Linked DNA regions of Pelodiscus sinensis. The protein of the gene in region 1 interacts with the protein of each later gene in a biochemical or structural test. Links are inferred from orthologs where the notes say so. Each region holds a gene or a part of one and is shown on either strand. Other genes may lie near its edges.

Region 1 (7,970 bases):
CAGAAGTGTGAGGTTTACTGTTGAGTGCTTTGAGCTCCTTTAAATGGTGCAGTATAAGTGTGCGGTTGTTATTTAACTCCTGTGTTAGTTCTTTGCCCAGGTTGGTTAAATTTGTATATTTGATCTTTAGGAGGAAGTCAGCTCACTGTTAGGGAAGCTACTGGATGAACAAAGCACTAACTTCTGACTTGAGGATGCAAGCATGTCAGTCTCCTTCAAAATATGGAAGGCTGAATTTAAAAATCCGTGTGATTTGCTTTAGGGATGTAATAGTGTAGTTGATTAACTGATAAGCAAAAGTTTATTGGTCAGTGCTATAGACTGCACATGTTCCCCCCCCCCCCCCTCCAGTAAACTTTTTAGCAGGCTGTCCAGCAATCTGGCTCGCGCCGGGTCCAGGACCTACCCCTACCTTGGCTCCGCATTTGAAGTGCATTAGGAGCCAGGCGGGCAGGCAGCCCGGTTCAGTTCTGGCTCACGACACATCTGGGAGCTCAGCCCTCCCATTCCCTGGACAGGGGTTGCTGCCACCCTGCACTTCTGCCTCTGTCAGGACAGCATGGGCAGCCAGTCTGCAAGGGGAGCTGTTTTTTAAACTGGCTCCCCTCACGGACCAGCTCCTGCCTGGCACCCCAGATATAGAGGCAGCAGCGCAGAGTGGCAGGGGGCGCTTCAGGACTGGGGCTGGAGTGCACTGGCTGCCGGTCCCTCCCCCTGGGACTATAGAATAGTCGAGTAACTGATAAGAATTCATTGTTAATCGACTATTCATTTAACCAATATTTAACATCCCTAACTTGCTTTGGCCATTCACTGGTGGTGTTGCAGCCATGTATGTTATGACATACCTTTACAGCTGGGTTGTTTTTTTTCCAATAGATTTTACCAAGTTTTGGGCTCAGTGAAGGTATAACAATATTTTGTTTTTTATCTAGGGCCTTTTACACCAGCCCATCAAGTTTGTTAGATAGAAACTGACAGGATTTGGAATAGATGCCAGGAGTCTTGACTCCCCGTCCATCCGTCTGTTTTAAGCACTAAACTCCCTCCGTGGGAGTCTGAAATGCAGGTTGCAATTGGCTACAACTCCTTTTGCAATTGTGGGTTGTCGTAATGCCGGCTGGCAGGTGCCAAGGGAATGGTGAACCGTCAGTGTGCTCAGATCAGTGTTTGTTTTGACAGTTGGGAAAAGTCTTTCTGGAGGAGGCTCTCTGTTTCTCTCAGTTGTGTTGCAGTACTGTTAGGTCATTGTTGAAACAGATTCTGGATGGGTGGAAAATAACTATGCAACAGGTCTGTGTTGCAGGCAGTTTCCAATTTTGAGTGATGTTGTCTGGAATTCAGCCATTTTTGTCATTTATTGCTCCATAGCTGCCGGGAGGCTCTTTTGTCAAGGCTGCTTATTTACTCCACTGATGAAAAAGTCCGGGTGCTTGTGAAGCACTTTTAAAATCCTGCTCCACCTATTGCTGTTTGTATTAGGAGGAAACCACTCCTTCAGTTCTGCCCTGTGCTTCCTGAGAGATTAAACATTGTGAGTTTCTGGATCAGCTGTAGAGAATTTGCTGAGGATCACCCCATTGACTTAACTCCAGCCACACACTCTCTGGTGGGTGTCACTGGAAAACTTTCCCACCAAGTTGGGCTGTATTTTTAACTTTTTGAAAAGCTCTCTTCTGGAACACACTGCACTGTGTGGTTTTTTTATGTTTTTTTTTTTTTTTAAACTTTAAATCAAGATGGAGGTCAGCCCAGATACAGCAGTCTGTCACGTGGGCAAGGAGGGAAATAATAGTAAAGGAACAAACAGGAAGTAAGTGTAGTCACAGAAGTACAGTGAAGTCTTGCAATGAGCGCTGAAGAGTCCCAACAGAGAGAATCTCCAGACAAAGCGTCATATATTCACGGGCCTTTTCTTTGGAAGTCCCTGTCCCCAAATTGAGTGGCGCAGGACTTCGGAATGAAGAGCAGAAACCATTTGGTCAGTCTCCAGTGGTCTATAGATATGAAGGACTTGCTCAAATACTTGGGGCCTAGCAGTGTGTTACGTAGATCTTTTTTTTTTTTTTTTCTTCAATTCCTTAATAACTGGTTTGGAGGTATGTTGTCATTCAGAGGTTTCTCCCCTGGTCTCTGTTCTTTCTCCAGTGGAGTGTGTAGAATCTCAGTAGCTGTATGAATATGAGACAGCAATAACCTAAATCTGTGGGCTGATCTCTTCCAGTGATGAGGACTCCACCAGGGCCCCAGGATCTGTTTGTCCGTGACAGTTAGCTCAGCTCAGACAAATGATAATGAGCAGGAACAAACTCCCACTGGCAAATACATTTCATCTTCTAGGGCTGCCCTTCCCCCTCCCTTCTCTTCCATTAGGTAGGGAGATGCTTGCTTTAGATTAAAGCACTTTTACTTATAACCAAGTGACTCCAACTTCCATTTTGCAGTTAGTCTGATTACATTATTCTATTTCAGAAGTCTGAACAGGAAATACAGCAGGGAAATTGCCCTATTGCAGGCTATTCATAAATTAATTAAAATAAATATTTCCTTTCTTCCTTGTCAATACTTTAGTGACTGATTGGTCTGGCTCTTGAACTGTTTGAGTTCCTGTATATGTGGAAATCTGTATTGTTTCAGTAACCTAGTCTATGAAGAATGTGTTTAGCTGTTTGCACATTACAGTGGCACACAACATTCTTCATCCTTTGAAGAGGTTTGATTGTGGGTAGCTTCCCTTGGTTGTGTAATGTGTACCTTTGGCACTCAGGGCAGTGTGGGAATCTGAGAGAGGTTTATTTGCTGGCATTTGGATAATGCCGCCATAGAGTGTCTGAAGAGTTGTGACTTCTAGCAAATGTACAGGTGTGTTTGACCTGCGGGATAGGAGCAGCCAGAGTCCTTGAGTGCTTTTCAGCAGGTTAGCTGAGTTTGTGTTTGGAGTATATGGGGTGGGGGGGAACTCCTATAGTTCACATCATACATGTAATTATCCAATATTAGTTGACAGATTATTTCAGTTATTGATTTAAACTTTGTTCAGTTGTTGAGGATTTGAGGACTGTTCCTCCTTCCAAGCTTAAAATAGGAAATAACTTGCAAAGGGGAGGAGGGAATGCATTTCTCAGCTAGTGAGCAAAGTTTAAAAATACAGATGAATCAGCCATCAGGAACTATTAAACTAAGGGCTTGTCTTCACAGGGAAATTAGCCAGGATAATTATACTGGCATAACTCCCTGTGTGCACACTCTTATTCTGGAATAAGCGTGTCTACAGAGGGAGTTAAAACAGTATAATTAGAGGTAGCACAGTAAAATATGCTAGTAAATTTCCCCATGCAGACAAGCCTCAACACCTCATTCCTCTCCTCTCCTCTGCCCCGCAACCTTGCTGCCTATCCCCCTCCTTGCTTGCTGTAGCATTATTTGTGTGCTAGGCATGTTAACTCTTTGCCACTGCTGTGGCAGAAAAGACTATTGACTATTAGCTTGGGGCAAAGGGGGAACCTTAAGTGTAGAAAACTGTTGTAATCACTGCAGCCTCAGGAGTGATGGAATAATCATATTAGTTCTTCTAATGCATCTGGATCATGATCCTAGACTGTCTACAAGGACTGGGAACTTGAAATGTCAACACTGGTGTGTTGTTCTTGTCCCATCCTGGGAACAAGATGGTGAATACGGCCACTCGTGTCCTTGGGGATGGAATTCTATTTTTAGTAGCTGGGAGCACAAATACAGGTATTGATGTCTTGGGGTGTAGTCTGTGCATTCTGAAGTTGGGAGTGTGAAGCGATGCACTAGTGATCTAACAGGAAGATTGTAATGATGACATTAGTGGAAATATTCCTGTTTATGGAGTCAAAATTCTGGTGCCTCTAAAGTTCTCCTGTATTGATCTGTTGGGGAGATTGGGAAAGGAGGGATTTCATAATAGATTGAGAAAATGTTGTTGTAAAAATCTTATGAGGAAAAAAATCAGACATTGTTTCTTTCTGATAATTGGCCCATAACGAGTGCTTGTCCAAGTTTATTTGCTTTGAAAGCATTTTTATTTATTTGCTGGAGAGCTTCTGATGCTGGCGGGTGCTATACTGAGGTACTGGACCTGAAAACCATGCCATTGTCTGCCTTCCTATCCCCTCTTTATTTGAGACAGGATTTTGGCTGCTGTTTGATAACTTGCTCTTGATGAAAGGGATTGGAGAACAGGGTAAACAGAAATTTTATACGTTCTACAATATTATACATAAATTTGTATAACATGCACTTTAAAATATGGAATACCTCTTTGAAATTGATTAAGGGAAAATATCAAGAAAGGAAATATGACCCCCTTTTTAAGAGGAGCTCTGCATATACCGCTGTCTTGCATCAGAAGCCATCCCAGGCAAGTGATCAAGTCAGCTGTGGTGCAGGAGGCAAATAGTTTTTGCTGTGTGCTTCTATGGCAGGCATGTCCAAAGTCCGGCCCGCGGGCCAATTGCGGCCCGTGTTCCGGTTTAATACGGCCCCCCAGGTAATTTGGCAATATCTATCTTTTATGGCCCCCAACGAATCCATATGTATTGAGATGAATACATTGTAAAATCTCAGTTAATGTCAGTTGGTCTAAATCAGTTATAAATATATTTGGACACAACATGTATACTTGGTGTTATGTTCCTGTTCATATTTTTTGAACTTAAAAGTTGACAGACAACCTTTATTACCAATAATATGTAATGTACTTTACAATGTTCCTGACATATACTTCAGCTTCCTGGATTTTTTTTTCATCTGGCCTTCAGATATGAAAGGCAGAGTGATTTAACACCTGTTTAGATTTGTCATCCATGTGACGAAATGAAAAGTGTGCCGTTTGCAATAAACTTTGCATAAAATAGTTAATTTGCATTTAATGTTAATGGTTCAAAGAATGTCAGGCAAAATGGTCGGCCCTCGCGCATGTTCACTTCATCAAATCTGGCCCTCTTTGAAAAAAGTTTGGACACCCCTGTTCTATGGGCATTGTGTTTTCTGTTGGTTTGTCACTGTCTTCATACAGTGTTTCAGCTCCTTTCTTTTCACTGAGTAATCAACTTCCATTTTTGTACCAAAACTTGAAGATGTTATCGTGGTCCTTAAGAAATCCCCAAGGAGCTGCCCTAAAGCAGCCTGCTGTGTGATTTGTAATCTTAGATGTGGTAGGCTAGTATTCTTGGGCACTTCACCAATTTCCCTCAGATACTCAAATTCTCTGCTTAAAATAATATCTATTAGTAGTAAGTTTTAAGCGCATTTATAGCTTTGACAGTTTCAGCCACAGCATGGGTACAACTTCAAGGTTTCTACTACATGAAAAGAAATGTCTTAGCACTGCAGGTTATGTTCAGTGTTAACACAGGCATGCATAAGAAAGAGACAGATGTAGCTCCATCTTTTAATGACTGGTTCTCTAGACTGTCTTGCAAATCTAATCCTAATAGCTATGTGCTCCTCTCAGTGGAGCTCAGAAGGTGGGTTTTACTGAGTAGAGCTAGTGGATTTGTCTGGTGAATCACTCAGGTGAATGATAAATAGGGTCCTTTTGTGAGTTCACAACTCAATGATGTAGTTTCTTCTCACCCTCCCCACTCACCTTGCAACTTTTCTCACTTTTGGGGTTCTTATTTAGTTCCCTTGTGAGAAGTTATTTCAGCTGTGTAGTGCTGATCCTGCATCTGATTGCTCGTCTCTCATTGTCCTTTTGGCCGTTTGGTGTTGTAGAGATGCTCTTTCATTGCATGTAATGAATCTTGAATCGGAGTCCTCATTGAAACACCTACGTACTCTGGGTTCTACACTAGGACCCTAAATACTGTCTTGAGGATATCTCTCCCGTGTGACCCATCTGGAACCTGGAGACTTCTAAATCTTTGCTTGTAATCCTCTACCCATCTTTACCATTCCGCTGAGACATTCTTCTTGGTTTTCCTCCCTCAGTCTGAACATTCTGAGAGTATTTTCTATATTCAGAGGTATAGCACTTGTCTTCTCTGAGGAGTCCTTGCTAAGGTAACTGTAGTGGGGTGGAATGGCCACCCACTGAGCCGGAGGCGGAGGAACCCCTCTGGGAGCCATTTTGGGCCCAGCCTAGCCCCGCCCCCTCACCTGACCAGAAGTCAAAGGGCGGGACTAGGACTATAAGAAGGCTGCCTGGGAGCTCAGTCAGGGCCCAGCCTCCGAGGGAGCCGGAGGCCGGTCCAGAGCTCCTGTCTGGGGAGGCTAAGACCTGGGCTAGGCCGTCCTCAGCCGCCTCCCTGGAGGCCCGCCAAGGCTTCCCTGCCGGGACTACTGAGGCCTTGCCACGCCAGCCAGCAGAGCAACCCGAGGACCCAGAGGACTGTCCCGAACCACTAGACCGGCTGGACCCCCAATGGGTACTGGAACGCCGGGGCCGGACGAGCCCGCGGGATGCTACAGAGCTCCGACCCCTTGACCCCTGGATTGGGCCGCCTGGACCCTGCTGGGACAACACCGACCTCGACTCCACGACGGGCCTGCCGGAGCTACAGGTACCAGGGAAGGGAGAGACGAGAAGTGGCCCAGGGGGTAGCCGGGCGGGGAGCCGCCCGCGGCCAGCAAGTTATGGGCCGGAGCCCTGCTGAGCCAGGCGCAGCCGCCCGGCTGCATTCAGGGCCCCTGGGCCGGGGTGCAATGAGGTGGGTGGGCCTGCGCCCCCCCTGCCACCCTGAACCGGGTGACAGTCTCCCCCCTCACCGCGGCTGCCGACGCCCTCCCGGGCCTGCTCCGCAACGAGGGGCTCCGACGGGTGTGGGGTTAGCTGGGCCGCCCAACTTGAGGGCCTGGCCTAATAGACTATGTTTGGGGGCCCGCCCTGCTCAAGGGCACGGGTTTACCTACGGTGCGGCTGAGACCGACCGTGCGTCGGGCAGAACCCCTCAAAGGGGCCGGACTAGACTGGGTGCCAGGCCCTGACCTGTGCAATACTAGACTGACTGTGGCCCGGACCTGAAGGAAGGCCGGGAGAGACTCGCCTATTAATTTAAGGCGCAGTAATGCAGGGAGGCAGGCGCATCTCCCGCTGCGCCTGGGGGCTGAGGAGCCGCCTCCTGAGGGCCTACCGGCCTATCACAAACCCATCAGTCCCCCGGAAGGGGAAAGCTTAGAGGCTATGGTTGTCACTGCCAGAGGGCAGTGACCTAAAAGGCGACGTGGCGACGAGAGCCACCCGCTACAGTAACCAAACTAATTTAAAACTGTGAGAGGAGTGATTAGAGAATTTGACGGAGAATTTGGTTCTGTTCCCACTTCAGCCTCTGACTTGAACTGTGATGTTGGGCATGTCGCTTCCCTTCTCTGTACTTCAGTTTCCCAATCTGTGAAGTGGAGCTAGAAACTTACTTTTTAGAAATTGTTTGAGATCCTTTGAAAGGCCAGGAAAGTGTCAAGTAGTAAGCTTTAAACATTATGCTTCTACTTAACTCGCTCTATAAATTGTCTACTGTAAATTTGCTCAGGTTTCTGTTAGGAGGAGGCCTCTATCTTGAATTTCTTCAGCCTGATTGACTAATACTATGTACTACAATGATTTTCAAATGCATAGATTATTGCTAATTTGTTAAGCAAAGCATTGGTTGCTCTTCCTGAAAAGCATGTTGAAAGTGGCTGATCTGCAGAGCCTTATAGCCTAAAAGTTGCTTTCTCCATAGTGTGGATTATGAGTGCAACTTTCTTAAAGGGATATCTTGGGGGCCGTGTGAGGGGATGGCACAGAGGACACATTAGCCCCACATTTCACTCTGCGCTTAAAATGTGCGTAACTGTACAAGTAGCATAAAGGAAGTGACTGAAAGGTGGTGGAACAAGTGTGTTGGATGACAGCTGCAACGCTGACAGCTTTTGTGTGTCTTTACGGTATGAAGCCGTCTTTGGAGGATAGCTCGTTGCAGTGCTTTGAGGTAGGAAGGACAAAGGCATGTAGACATGTG
Region 2 (6,949 bases), on another chromosome or scaffold:
GACCCAACATCACAATGTTAAAAGCCAAGTTGTGCCCTGACTTTTAAAGAGTTAATTGGCATTCACTGTCTAACGAAATACAATATTACTCAACATGCCTTAAAGATTCCATCTACCCTAGCCTTGCCCAAAACATTTCTACAACTGGTTTAATTGCCGGTACATCCACAGAACTTATTTTCCGAGCTAAATCTACTACTTAAGGGTTTGCCCATATGATTTTTTTTCTTTTTAGTTTCAGGAATTCTTTCCTCAGATATTAACAGATGCAACACGCTCTCTCCTACGCACACCTTTTAAAAAGTAAAATTTGGTTACGTTAACCAGTGGTTCAAGATTTTTCAAAAGTTACACTATTCAGCTAGTAGGAATGGATCTAGCTTTAAGGAAACCTCCTGTCTGCACAAACGCTTAAAGACAAACAGAGGGAGATCGAGCACAATGTGAAAATGGTTGAAATAAAAAGGCCCATTTAACAACCGTCCCTCCAATCTCACCACTCCCACCGCCAAAAACGGGGGACAAAGTTAACGTTAATTTTAGGGGCCAACAATCCAATCTTAGCTAACAAAACAGGCAAACTGATCATCCGCACCGATTAATATGCAGATAATTGCAATCTAGTGCATTTCAGCTCTCACCATCCACACCCCTTCTATTTTCCCCTGCAACCGAAGGGGGCGGGCACGATAATATAATCACAGGTTTGAAATGCAAAAAACAAAAACAAAAACCCGAAGTCGGGGCTTTTTGCAACTCCCAAACAATACGGACAGACCCTGCGATTCCGAAAAGATAAACAGCAACAAGAAGCCACATCAGACATCTTTGTGCACTAGAGACTTAACCATTTGCAGAGCGCGCACGCACAAACACACAATGAACCACGTTTTCCACAAGGCAGAATTTAAACACAGAGAAGAAAACAACTCACGCTAGTTTTTTTTAAAAGCAACCGCAGAACTTCACTTCTAGGTATAAACAGAGCTTCTAATGTATTGATTTCTTTATCTTTAAATCCCTAGTCCTTCCAATGTGTCAGTCCGTGCGTCCATCTCCATATCCCCCCCCCCACACACACACACACACACGCCAAGTTGTATAGATCTATACAAAGTAATTAGGAGATTAAGTGATCTTCGTATGCTGACTATAATCCTTTTACATCTGAGCATCCCAAGAAGGGAAAGCCACGCTAGGTAAAAACAAAACACAGTATCTGCTTGTTTACTGAAATTCTTTCAGTGATAAGGTATTAACACCTGATTTTTTTTAAAAAAGGCATTCAGTTACTAAAGTCACTGTTCCCCTATAAACAGTCAAAGCATGCATTTCTGGGCCTTGCAATGTTGACCGAGCACCTTACAAGTCTTGGGAGTTTAAAATCTAACTATCTGGGGGAAATCTGGAGAGGCTTACAGAAATTAACACAGAAGACAAGATTATGGGGTAAGGGCAGGAAACAAGTGGACCTATTACTCTTCAGAAACAGGAGAGTGTCTAACCTCTGGTAAACGAATTTCCAAGCCAAGCACCGCAAGTGAGTTGAGAGGAAAGAGCAGCCTGAACTCAAGGTATTAAATGTGCTTAAGGGGCAGCTTCAGTAACAGGCAAACGCACGCAGCCTTTGAAACTCAAAAGTCACCGCAGTGCAAAACAAGCGCGCCCACCACCACCCCGTTTCCCTGCACCCCGCAGGTTTCAATGAAACGCCAAATACTCACTTTCTCCATTTGTTGGCCACAGACAAAGCGTGGCGAAGAAGAGCAGAAATAAGGTCAGGGACCCTCCTCCAGCGCCAGACTTCATTCCTTTTTTTTAAAATTATGGACAAGATCCCCTTTTCCCAAAAAAAAGTCCAAAATTTCTTCCCCTCCACTCACACACCAGCTCTATTAAGGGGGGGGAGCTTGGGAGAGAGGGGGAAAAAAATCACCCCGCTCCTCCCACGCGCAGACACAAAAACACCCTCCCCTGGGTTTGCAAATTCAAAGGTGTTTCTCCCCCTCGCGGAGGTGCTTCCGGAGCAGCTACGCACGGACAACAATAACCACGCCGGGCTGGGGCTCCCCCAGGACGAGCGATACTTGGGGGGCGCTGAGCAACACTCCCCCCTCAGCGCTGCCTGCAGGGATGCAAGGGGCACCGGAGTAACCAACACGAAGCACGTTGGGGCTGGCAGTCTGTATCTTCAGCCTCCATTTTCAAACCCCACAAAGACGCAGCAAACACACGCACAAAACCGGATGGGAAAAGCGGGGGGGGGGGCAAAGCAAGCTGATGGGGGAAGGGGCAATAAAGCTTCCCAAGACAGTTGATTCCCCTCAGCAGAGAGCAGAGGCTGCTCCCAAGGGAATCCCCCCTTGCAGCGCCCCCCAGCACAAAAGTAAGTCGGAGGGGGACCGAAAGACCCTAAAAAATGCGGGAGAAAAATGAATGAAAAGGCTTCCCCAGCTTCACAGCGCTGCTGCTGCCCCAGGCTCCTTCCAAAAAAACAACCTCCCCCCACACACACGCACACACACAGACACACAAATCCAGAACACACAAAGCGGTCGCGGGGAGAGCTGAGCAGCTCAACACTTCTCCTCCTCCACCTCTTGCTGCTGCTGCTCTCCTCGCATCCCTGCTAGCTGCTGCTTCTCCATGCCACAAACATCCAAACACAACTGACGCTCGTGTGTGCGCGCTGCAAACCTTCCCCCCTTCTTGTCCAGCCCAAGACAGGGGCGGGAGGGGGGAATGCTGCTAGGAAAAAGGGGGGGGAATCCGGTTTGCTGAAGGTCAAAGCCCAGGAGCTGGTTGCAAAGGGTCCGTAATTCCTCCAAGGGGGGGGGGGGGAGGTGGCGAAGGAGGCCCTGCTGCTGGGGGTTTAAGGCTGTCGCTGTTGGCGGCGGGGCTGGCCGGGTCTCCCCCCCTCGCCGCTCCTCCTCGCTCGCTCCCTTGCACGGTGCGGAGTTAATGCTGGTAAACAAGAGGCGCCCGCTGCTGCTGCTGCTGCTGCACTGGCACTGGGGGGCTCGCGCGCACGCACGCGCTCCCGGGGCTCCTCGCGCGCAGCAGCGGCGGGCAGGAGGAGGAGGAGTAGGCGCGAGGCAAAAAGAGGAGCGAGGAATCGTCGGCGCCGTCCGGAACGGAGCCCAGGCGGCGGAGACAAGAGCAGAGCGCGCGGCCCCTGCCGCCCTCGCCCATGGGCTGACCGCGCGCTGCTGCTGCTGCAGCTGCAGCCGGGCCCCAGTGCACGGGGCTGCGCGCGCCCAGCCCCTCTAGGTCTGCCCCGTGCAAAGTGCACGTAAGGCTGCAACAACTCCTCTGCGCGCACGCACCCATGCCTTGGTCTCGTGCATCCCGCTGTCGTGCAAGGAGGAATAGCATTGGGTCTGACTGGCATGGCACTAGCTCAGTGGGCCGGTGTTTTTGTTTTGCAGAGGTTGCCAGCTTCTGCTCTGGAATCTGATGATTTTTTTTTCGGGAGGGCGGGGCGGAGGCGAAGCTGGAGGGAAGTCCTCATGGCTGCAAGGAAAACCTTCGAGACGTGAACAGAGTGTAAACCAACGCATTGATGTCTTTGTGTCTGCCAGGCCTTCCAGCAGCCCTGCAGGCTCACTCCTGCGTCCAAAGCAATACCTAGTCGCCTTACACAAGCAAACATGCATACGGACGAGGTTGGCTCCGGTGATCAGCTTCAATAAGGGAGATTAGTTAAAAAAATGTTAAAATGAAGATTTCATTGAGCAAGTAGATTTAAAAAAAAATCTTTCATCAAGAGAAAGAAAATGTTTAAAAACTGGTCCTTAATTAAGGCATCCAAGCCATCCAGGGCAACCCTGTGGACTTTTACTCCTCTACACCCTTTTACTTTGCTCTTTTGCCATACCAGCTAAAATGCCTGATCTCTTAATAACACACAAACTGATGGTAAAATTGAAAATAATTCCATTATAAATCAAAGAATCATTGAACCGTAGAACTGAAAGAGACCTCATAAGGTTATCAAGTCCAGCCCCCTGCTCTAGGCAGGACCAATCCCAACTAAATCAACCCCACCAGGGCTTTGTCAAGCCGAGACTTAAACACCTCTTGGGATGGAGACACCACTACTTCCCTAGCTAACCCATTCCATTGTTTCACTACCCTCCTAGTGAAATAGTTTTTCCTAATATCCACCCTGGACCTCTCCCACCACAACTTGAGACCATTGCTCCTTGTTCTACCAAGTCATTACAGAGAACAGCCTCTCTCCCATCCTCTTTGGAACCTCCCTTCAGGAAGTTGAAGGCTGCTATCAAATCCCCCCTCACTCTTCGCTTCTGCAGACTAAACAGACCCAAGTCCCTCAGCCTCTCCTCATAAGTCATATGCTCCAGCCCCCTAATCATTTTGGTTGCCCTCCTCTGGACCCTCTCCAATGCATCCACATCCTTTTTGTAGTGGGGGCCCAGAACTGGACACAATACTCCAGATGTGGCCTCACCAGAGCCGAATAAAGGGGAATAATTACTTCTCTGGTTCTGCTGGCAATGTTCCTCTTAATGCAACCTAATATGCCATTAGCCTTCTTGGCTACAAGGGCACACTGTTGACTCATATCCAGCTTCTCATCCACTGTAACCCCCAAGTCCTTTTCTGCAGAACTGCTACTTAAGTGGCTGGTCCCCAGCTTGTAACAATGCTTGGGATTCTTCCCTCCCAAGTGCAGGACTCTGCACTTGTCCTTTTGAACCTCATCAGATTTCTTGTGGCCCAATCCTCCAATTTGTCTAAGTCACTCTGAACCCTATCTCTGCCCTCAAGCATATCTGCCTCTCCCCCTAGCTTAGTGTCATCTGCAAACTTGCTGAGGGTGCAATCCATCCCCTCATCCATTAATAAAGATATTGAACAAAACTGGTCCTAGAACTGAACCTTGAGGCGCTCCACTAGAAACCGACCGCCATCCTGACATGGAGCCGTTGATCACTACCCACTGGGCCCAGCAGTCTAGCCATCTTTCTATCCATCTTACTGTCCATTTATCCAATCCACATTCCCTTAACTTGCTGGCAAGAATATTGTGGGAGACCATATCAAAAGCCTTGCTAAAGTCAAGGTATATCACATCCACTGACTTTCCCACGTCCCACAGAGCCAGTTACCTCATCATAGAAGCTAATCAGATTGGTCAGGCACGACTTTCCCTTTGTGAATCCATGCTGACTATTCTTAATCACTTTCCTCTCTTCCAAGTGTTTCAAAATGGATTCCTTAAGGATCCCTTCCATGATTTTTCCAGGAACCCGAAGTAAGACTGACCGGCCTATAGTTCCCTGGATCATCCTTCTTCCCTTTTTTGAAGATGGGCACTACATTTGTCTTTTTCCAGTCATCCGGGATTTTTCCCAATCTCCATGACTTTTCAAAGATAATGGCCAAAGGCTCCTCAATGACATTTGCCAACTCCCTCAGTACCCTCAGATGCATTAAGTCCGGACCCATGGATTTGTGTACGTTTAGCTCTTCTTTACCCACCAAGGGCCGTTACAGGACTGCTTGGGAATAGTGACCATAATATAATAACATTCAACATTCCTGTGGTGGGAAGAACACCTCAGCAGTCCAGCACCCTGGCATTTAATTTCAAAAAGGGGAATTACGCAAAAATGGGGAGGTTAGTTAAACAGAAATTAAAAGGCACAGTGACTAGAGCCAAATCCCTGAAAGCTGCATGGAAACCTTTTAAAGACACCATAATAGAGGCCCAACTTAAATGTATACCCCAAATTAAAAAACATAGCAAGAGACCTAAAAAAGAGTCACCGTGGCTTAACCACCATGTAAAAGAAGCAGTGAGGGACAAAAAGGTATCTTTTAAGAAGTGGAAGTCCAATCCTAGTGAGATAAATAGAAAGGAACATAAACACTGTCCAATCAAGTGTAAACATGTAATAAGAAAAGCAAAAAAAGATTTTGAGGAACAGCTAGCCAAAAACTCAAAAAGAAATAACAAAATGTTTTTTAAGTACATTGGAAGCAGGAAGCCTGCTAAAAAACCTGTGGGTCCCCTAGATGATCGAGCTATAAAAGGAGCAATCAAGGACGATAAAGCCATTGCGGAGAAACTAAATGATTTCTTTGCTTCAGTCTTCACTGCTGAGGACGTTGGGGAGATTCCTGAATCTGCACCGTCCTTTGTGGGTGATGAATCTGAGGAACTGTCCCAGATTGAAATGTCATTAGAGGAGGTTTTGGAACAAATACAAAAAACTTAATGTTAACAAATCTCCGGGACCGGATGGCATTCATCCAAGGGTTCTAAAAGAACTTAAAATGGGAAATTGCTGAGCTATTATCTGTGGTTTGTAACCTATCCTTTAAATCGGCTTCCATACCTAATGACTGGAAGGTAGCCAACGTGACACCAATATTTAAAAAGGGCTCTAGAGGCGATCCTGGCAATTACAGACCGGTAAGTCTAACTTCAGTACCGGGCAAATTAGTCGAAACAATAGTAAAGAATAAAATTGTGAAGCATGTAGAAGAACATAATTTGTTGGACAAAAGTCAACATGGTTTCTGTAAAGGGAAATCCTGTCTTACTAATCTGTTAGAGTTCTTTGAAGGGGTTAACAAACATGCGGACAAGGGGGATCCGGTAGATATAGTATACTTGGATTTTCAGAAAGCCTTTGACAAGGTCCCTCACCAAAGGCTCTTGTGTAAATTACATGGCCATGGGATAAGAGGGAAGGTCCTTTCTTGGATTGAGAACTGGTTAAAAGACAGGAAACAAAGGGTAGGAATAAATGGTAAATGTTCAGATTGGAGAGGGGTAACTAGTGGTGTACCCCAAGGGTCAGTCCTGGGACCAATCCTTTTCAACTTACTCATAAATGATCTGGAGAAAGGGGTAAGCAGTGAGGTAGTAAAGTTTGCAGATGATACAAAACTGTTTAGGATAGTCAAGACAGAA

Evidence for each region.
Region 2: the proteins of ARHGEF12 (region 1) and IGF1R form a complex in vitro, tested with the Homo sapiens proteins (2 studies listed by BioGRID and IntAct, with this or other methods). The link is inferred for Pelodiscus sinensis from reciprocal best matches to the Homo sapiens genes ARHGEF12 and IGF1R.

The regions. Positions count from the first base shown.
Region 1 is NC_134736.1:4,763,585-4,771,554, reverse strand, and holds the start of ARHGEF12 (rho guanine nucleotide exchange factor 12), read left to right. Parts: upstream 1-4,963; 5' UTR 4,964-6,432; coding exon 6,433-6,533; intron 6,534-7,970. UniProt on the Homo sapiens protein: May play a role in the regulation of RhoA GTPase by guanine nucleotide-binding alpha-12 (GNA12) and alpha-13 (GNA13). Acts as guanine nucleotide exchange factor (GEF) for RhoA GTPase and may act as GTPase-activating protein (GAP) for GNA12 and GNA13.
Region 2 is NC_134724.1:8,748,109-8,755,057, reverse strand, and holds the start of IGF1R (insulin-like growth factor 1 receptor), read right to left. Parts: upstream 3,075-6,949; 5' UTR 1,810-3,074; coding exon 1,725-1,809; intron 1-1,724. UniProt on the Homo sapiens protein: Receptor tyrosine kinase which mediates actions of insulin-like growth factor 1 (IGF1). Binds IGF1 with high affinity and IGF2 and insulin (INS) with a lower affinity. The activated IGF1R is involved in cell growth and survival control.